Linked DNA regions of Macaca mulatta. The protein of the gene in region 1 purifies or fractionates together with the protein of each later gene. This does not show direct contact. Links are inferred from orthologs where the notes say so. Each region holds a gene or a part of one and is shown in the gene's direction. Other genes may lie near its edges.

Region 1 (3,815 bases):
TCCTGAGTTTGAGAACTGGAGCAACACTGTAGCTGTGATAGTTATTGGCAACTTAATATGAGGTAAAGTAACTTTTTATCAATAATTAGAAACTGATTTTCATTGCTTTGAATAAGCATAGGCATACTTAGCCTTGCCAAAAGTAATTCATTTTTATGCCAATACCTTTGGCATATTTCCTATCTTCTATTGTTCTCTTCCCACTTATTTTTTCACTTGTCACTTGTTGTGTTTCTTTAGATGGTGAGCCAAAGTCTGTGGTAGGGGTGATTTCCATTTCTGCATATTACAAAGCAATTAGCATATTGTTAATATTCAACAAAAGCTTTTGCTGTGCTTCCTTAGCTGGCGTTTTGGTTATCTGATAGTAACTGGAGAAAATGGTTTTCCAATTTTCTCCAATTAGAGTAAGGAGAATGTCATATTTAGTTAAGAAGTACCTGCTTTAAACATCATAGAAAAACTGCATACATTATAATAGCAATTGCTTTTCCAATGTCTTCATTCCATGATCCTGAGCCAATTCAACCACACGGTTTCAGTTTTTGAGAGCCTGAGGCACTAACCTTGGTTGATATAATGTTTTCTTTCTATAGATGTTCAGGCAGTTGCTTATGAGGAACCAAAACACTGGTGCTCTATTGTCTACTATGAGCTCAACAATCGTGTGGGTGAAGCTTTCCATGCCTCCTCCACAAGTGTGTTGGTGGATGGTTTCACTGATCCTTCCAACAATAAGAACCGTTTCTGCCTTGGGCTGCTCTCCAATGTTAACCGGAATTCCACTATTGAAAACACCAGGCGGCATATTGGAAAAGGTGAGTTTTTGCTTTAACCTCTTTCGGATGTTTATCTGTTGTGTCCCTGTTCCTCCAGAGCTGACTTAAAATCATTCCTGTAACAAACTAGTGTAGCAAAGACCAGGTAATGTTCACTTGCTGCAGTTTGTAAATATTTTTCCAGTTTCTGCTATCTAGAAGCTCTTGCAGTCAGTGATTTTTGTGGTCGATCAACTCTCATAATATTGAAATTAATTACTTGAAATTATGATTTGCCATTTTAAGACACTATTCTGTATGATATTTTGCTACAGAATAAATTGGCTGTTAAAAAATGAATTACAACCTAAAATTAAAAGCAAATTAAATTAATTGCTTAATTGTATTTCAGATGAATACCATAACTCAGTAAATAGAAAAGAAAGAACTAGATTCTAGCACAAACATCGTGCAAGGTGGCACAATAGAACCCTGCAGTGAATGTACCTTCACAGGGACACCAAATTGAACAACTGTCCATATAAGAAACTGTCCATATAAGAACAACTGTCCATATCCTCAGCCTAGGCTGAGTGGAATAGATAGAGTAGGGGTAGGATTTCAAATAAATCCCAAATTCTTTTTAGTAAACTTGATTATTTCATAGCAGTATGAGTGAAACCATTCTGAAACTTTCATATGTAAAGATGAAGCAAATGACTAAATGTGTGGATATTGTTGGGAGCCTGGGTTTCCACTGTGGAAGACAGACATATAAATGCAGGGGGGAGCAAAAACTAAACCCTATGAAGGAGAATAGAGGTATCAATGCAAAATTCTGATTTTAATAATACTTATATGTGTGTGTGTATGTATGTTTATGTTCTCATGTATTACATATGTGCGTGTGTATGCGTATGTATATGCGTTTTTACGTGCGTATGGTTTCTGATCTGCCTGCTGAAAGGGCCCAGAAGCTTCCATACCCAGTAGCAATAAGCATGTCTAGTGTTCAGATCATCATCACTAATACTGTGTCCCACTAAAAGGAGCTAGGGCTCCTTGAAGAAATGGCTGACCCCTAGGCTGGGATAGGTAGGCACAGGAGGACCCTAGAGCATCTGTTATGGCAGAAAGTAAAGAAATGCTGATGGAAATCATGGGGCATGCCTCAGGAGCCAACTCTCAGACAATTTGAGCCCCCAAATAATTACAGTATGAAGTAAAATTACAGAATTTTACTTCATTTTATTTATTTATATTTTTTTGAAATGGAGTCTCCCCCTATCACCCAGGCTGGAGTCCAGTGGTGTGATCTTGGCTCACTGCAACCTCCACCTCCCAGGTTCGAGTGATTCTTGTGTCTCAGCCTCCTCAGTAACTGGGAGATTACAGGTGTGCACCACCATGCTCGGCTAATTTTTGTATATTTAGTAGAGTCGTTGAGTTTTACCTTATTGGCTAGGCTGGTCTCGAACTCCTAACCTCAAATGATCAGCCTGCCTTGGCCTCCCAAAGTTCTGGAATTACAGGTTGTGAGCCACTGTGCCTGGCCTCAGTATGGCATTGAATTTTACACCATTGAAAAACCATATGAATTCGTAAGTCCATACTCATAATAAATAGATAAATAAGTGAATGGGGAAGGCTGGTTGATAAATACAGAGTGAGTGCTAAAGTTCGAATATCATCATTTTGCAACCATCATAGTAATGATCAGGCAAGAATCATCAATGGATGCTAAATATAAAGAAAATGTGTATGAGAATCAGTATATTTGCATGGTCTTAAGAGTGTTTACCCTCAAACTGCCTTTTAGTATGAGGGAGAATAAAAAGCATTAACTAAACAGTGGAGAAACTGTATCGTTTGTATTTTAATTGTAATTGTATAATTGATGGATGCCCAGTTTTGACTGGGAGATCAAAATTATCATCACCAATGAGAGACAGATGGGTATCATTTACCTCCAGATGTCATACCCTGAGAAGGCCATAACATCACCTACGCAGGATTCCAGCTGAGAATGCAAATCCTAATCTAATCCTGAGGAAATATCAGACAGACTCAAAACATTCTATTAAAAAGGGTGAAGAAGGGGGACTAATTTTTCCAAGATATCAGTGTCAAAAGACAAAGGTATGGAAATGTTCCAGATTAAAAGTAGTTAAAGAGATATGACACCTGCATGCAGTATCTAGCCCTGGATATGATCCTGTACTGAACCGGAGAAAAATATTAATGTTGTAAAGGACATTGTTGAGGTCAGCAGGCAAAACCGAAATATGAATGGTGGATTAGACCAATGTTAAATGTATTAGCATTGCCAACTATACTATGGCTATATAAGAGACAATCCCTATTCTTAGGAAATACTTAAGTAAGGAAGTGGTTCAGGAATAAATTAGTATATAAAGATACCTGTCCACTCACCATCTATCTACCTAAAACCTGTGTTACAATACATACAGACAGACAGACACACACACACATGCATGGTGCGTGTGCAGCAGCAGTGGGGAGAGAGGGCCCAAGCGATCAAGCAAATGGAGTAAATTGTCACAATAGATGCATCTGGATAATGGTTATACGGGTATTCTTTGTTCTGTTTTTCTGTGTTCCCTTTCAAACTTTTCTACAAATCTGAAATTATTTCCGGGGTAAAAGTATGAAACAGTGACCTGTGAAATTTAGAACAGTGGACCAGATTAAAAGGTTATTTATTAGATGCTTTAAAAGCACTCAAGATAAAGTGTAACATTTAATCCTGCGGGAAGAAAACTCCAACTCTTAAATCAGGAATTGGTAGATACTTTCTTATATAACTAAAGGAAAAAACTCTGACTATAAATTTAATAATGAAATGCTAGAACCTAGGTTCATAACATACATAGGTATCTGTCTCTGGTCTGTAAACCTCTGAAATTGTATATAAACAACATTTTGCATACATTTGGGAGGAAAGGACATACTTTTCATTAAATTCTAAAGATGACTCTTATCCCAAAGTAGCAAAAAAAAAAAAAATTGTACTATGGGACATTTCCTCCTAAAACA
Region 2 (3,815 bases), on another chromosome or scaffold:
AGAACACACTCGGGTTCTTGGAAAGGGGTTTGGCAGGAGAAGGACGAGGGACTCCGGGCCAGGCTGAGCTGCTGTGGAAGGGGTCTTGGTTCTCCATCTGAAACCTGCTGCAGCCGTGGGTGAGGTCACCCGGAATGGCAGGACAGGGTCCGCTTTGTTCTGTCGGAGATGACCTGTTCCTCAGCACAGCCTCCATGCACCTGTTGCGCGTGACCCAAGGGCCTTTATGCAAAGTGGACTCAGCCTCCTGGGGGGTGCCATGGAATCTGCCTTCTGCACCACTCAGGGTCCTTCATGGCCAGAGTGCCTGGGGCTGTGACTGCCACGCTGGCCACGGGCTGGTGGAGGGACCATGCCCTGGGCACCACTCAGGGTCCTTCATGGCCAGAGTGCCTGGGGCTGTGACTGCCACGCTGGCCACAGGGTGGTGGAGGGACCATGCCCTGGGAACCAGATGTGCCAACAAGTCCTTTCATTGATCGCAGGTTTCCTCTGAGCCCCCGGCCTCCATAAGACCCAAAACAGATGACACCTCTTCCCAGTCCCCCGCGCCTTCCGAAAAGGACAAGCCGTCCAGCTGGCTGCGGACCTTGGCCGGCTCTTCCAATAAGGTGCTGTGGGGCCTGTCAGGGTCCTTGGGGTGGTGGGTGGTGGGTACTGGGCCCTTCTCCTTGGGCAGACCCAGCGGCTGGCGGCTCTGTCTGCCCCCCACTGAGGGCTGGCACCCGGCACAGCCTCGGGGACGTGAAGTGGCTTTTCTCCTGGTCACTCACACAGACGACTCTCTCGACAGAGCTTGGGCTGTGTTCACCCTCGCCAGCGCCTCTCTGCTTTCCGACCCTGGTCCCCCGCGGTGTCAGCGAGTGAGAAGGAGCTCTCCCCACACCTCCCGGCCCTCATCCGAGACAGGTGAGTGGGCACCATTCACAGGTGTTTCTGGCCACGGGGGAGGCCCCACGAGGGCTGTGCACGCGGACGCGCCCATGTTTCTGCAGGCTGGGTGCCCAGACCTGCCGCCTTTTGGTCAGGGCAGTCTCAGTGTTGGTTCCTTTGGCTGGCGTCATGATGGTGAGCACACCTAGAGCGTTCCCTGTGTTCTGGGTGGAGTCGTGGGTGGAGCCCTGTCTGCTGGGCGCAGCCTCTTGATGTGGTGGTCGGCCTGTGTCTGGCCTGTGCGAGATACCCAGCAAGTAGAAAATACTTATGGGTTCTTAGGAACTGAAAGCTTGACTTTAAGAATCAGAGCTGGGAGAGAAAGTCTTTCCTCTGTAACACCTTCAGAGCGGGTGTGTGCCACGATGGGTCTGGGTGGCTCTTGGGGACAGAGGTACCTTCCCGACACCCGTTTGCCTCTCCAGCTTCTACTCCTACAAGAGCTTTGAGACAGCCGTGGCCCCCAACGTGGCCCTCGCACCGCCGGCCCAGCAGAAGGTTGTGAGCAGCCCTCCATGTACTGCTGCCGTCTCCCGGGCCCCCGAGCCTCTCGCCACTTGCACCCAGCCTCGGAAGCGGAAGCTGACTGTGGACACCCCAGGAGCCCCAGAGACGTTGGCACCCGTGGCTGCCCCAGAGGAGGACAAGGACTCGGAGGCCGAGGTGGAAGTTGAAAGCAGGGAGGAATGTACGTGTGAGTCGCTTTCTGTGCCTACCTGTGGGCCGTGGGCTGTGGGCGTGGCACCGGCTGAGGGGGTTGGTTGCCTGGGGGTGCTTCGGCGGCCCCGTGTTTCGCAGGTTCCTCTGGGAGCGGCGCGTCTCCCTGATGTGGAGCTGCCGGGCACTTCCGTGACTTCGTTTCTGTCTCTGCTTCCTCCTCAGTCACCTCCTCCTTGTCCTCGCTCTCTTCCCCGTCCTTTACCTCATCCAGCTCCGCCAAGGACCTGGGCTCCCCGGGCGCGCGTGCCCTGCCCCCGGCCGTCCCTGATGCCGCGGCCCCTGCCGACACCCCCAGTGGGCTGGAGGCGGAGCTGGAGCACCTGCGGCAGGCGCTGGAGGGCGGCCTGGACACCAAGGAAGCCAAAGAGAAGTTCCTGCATGAGGTGGTCAAGATGCGCGTGAAGCAGGAGGAGAAGCTCAGCGCAGCCCTGCAGGCCAAGCGCAGCCTCCACCAGGTGAGCAGGGCGGGTGGCGCTAGGAGGTCCAGGGCGCGGGCGGTGAGCACAGCCTCCACTAGGTGAACGGGCACAGGTGATGCCTCCTCCCTTCCTGGCTGCGCCATGTGCTCCTCTCCGCCTCCACCTCAGTGGGCCTGCCTGGGACCTTGGGGGTCCGTCTCCCGAAAGCTGCAGCTCTGGGTATGGTGAGCCCCTCAGTGTCCCCAGGCCGATGGACATCCCAGGAGGCCCCTGCATTTGGCTTGACCACAGCTTTCCCCATCAGGATCACACACCCTGTGTGGTGGCCCCACGAAGGAAGTAGCCGTGTTCCTCTGGTATAAAGAAGGCCGGGCTATTTTTAGTGGCAGAAAGAGTCGGGAGCAGCTGCACGGAGACAGTTCCTTGCTCTGTGTGCTCCAGGAGTGGGTGTTCACGCGCTCCGCCAGCAAGACCTGGCTTCTGCAAAACAGGCGTGAGGGGTGTGCTTCCTAAAGCCTGGTATTCCAGGAGGCGGCTCCTGCCAGGCCTCCCAAGTAGGAAGGAGAGGGCTCGGCCCGCGCGCACACCCCACCTGCACATGCTGCTTCTCTGGGCTCTGCCTCACGGTTCTCACGCTGCAGCTCCGGTCTCGCGCCTCCTTTTACGTTGTTTAGGTTTCTTTCTGACTTGACTGAGGGAGGCGCAGTTCACAGGCAGGGCTGCCTGCGGGGAGAGGTGTGCGGGTGGCCCGGCCTTCACCCGGCCCCAGCCTCGCTAAATTCACACCTCAGCGGTGTCTGGCAGCTTCCGCGGCGTGGGCTTTAGCACAACACAACCCCGTCGGCCCTCAGAGCTGCAGGGTTGTCGACGTGCCCCCTTGCGCGTGCCAGTCCCTCGCCCCAGCGCGTCCCCCGCCACTGTTGTCCTTGATTCTGGTTGGAGGTGTGATTTCCCACATGCATATTCATGTGGTGTTTGCAGCGTGGGGTGTGAGTCACACGGATATTTTCATGGGGAGGCGGGGGGCTTGTGGAGGCGCCCAGTGGATGGATGTCTCCATCTGGCCGCGTGGGGAGACCCAGGGCCCTCAGATGGTGCGACGTCTGAGGCTGCCCTCCTCACATTGGTGGGAGCCGGGGCCTACTTGGCTGGCTGCCCTCAAGGGGAACATGGCCCTGGATGTCAGGGGAGGGCCCTGCTGCAGCCTCAAGTGTGACTGACTCAGGCCCCCAGGTGCAGCACAGCTGCCGCAGGCCTGGCAGAAACTCAGGATGGGGGTCTGAAAAGCCTTTGTGGGGTGGGGGCACCACACGAGTTGGGCACAGATGGGGCACTGGGGGCGGGGCTCGAGGGCACATTGCCAGATGGTTGACCCCACGGGGCGGGCTGGGGGCTGCTGGCCATGGTTGGGGGGCGGCGCTGGGACCGGCTGGGAAGTGACCCTGAGCCGTCCCTGGCCCCCAGGAGCTGGAGTTCCTGCGCGTGGCCAAGAAGGAGAAGCTGCGGGAGGCCACCGAGGCCAAGCGGAACCTGCGGAAGGAGATCGAGCGCCTCCGCGCGGAGAACGAGAAGAAGATGAAAGAGGCCAACGAGTCCCGGCTGCGCCTGAAGCGGGAGCTGGAGCAGGCGCGGCAGGCCCGGGTGTGCGACAAGGGCTGTGAGGCGGGCCGCCTGCGCGCCAAGTACTCGGCCCAGGTATGCGGGTGGGGAGACTGAGGCACGTGGCGCGGCGGGCGTGGAGCC

Evidence for each region.
Region 2: the proteins of SMAD1 (region 1) and SKI purify together in Homo sapiens (affinity purification with western blotting, with the first as the bait; 3 studies listed by BioGRID). This does not show direct contact. The link is inferred for Macaca mulatta from reciprocal best matches to the Homo sapiens genes SMAD1 and SKI.

Annotation. Positions count from the first base shown.
Region 1 is NC_133410.1:154,118,677-154,122,491, forward strand, and holds part of SMAD1 (mothers against decapentaplegic homolog 1), read left to right. Parts: intron 1-596; coding exon 597-818; intron 819-3,815. UniProt on the Homo sapiens protein: Transcriptional modulator that plays a role in various cellular processes, including embryonic development, cell differentiation, and tissue homeostasis.
Region 2 is NC_133406.1:238,373,444-238,377,258, reverse strand, and holds part of SKI (ski oncogene), read left to right. Parts: intron 1-485; coding exon 486-611; intron 612-793; coding exon 794-909; intron 910-1,358; coding exon 1,359-1,627; intron 1,628-1,815; coding exon 1,816-2,108; intron 2,109-3,536; coding exon 3,537-3,767; coding exon of another isoform or gene 3,768-3,788; exon of another isoform or gene 3,789-3,807; intron 3,808-3,815. UniProt on the Homo sapiens protein: May play a role in terminal differentiation of skeletal muscle cells but not in the determination of cells to the myogenic lineage. Functions as a repressor of TGF-beta signaling.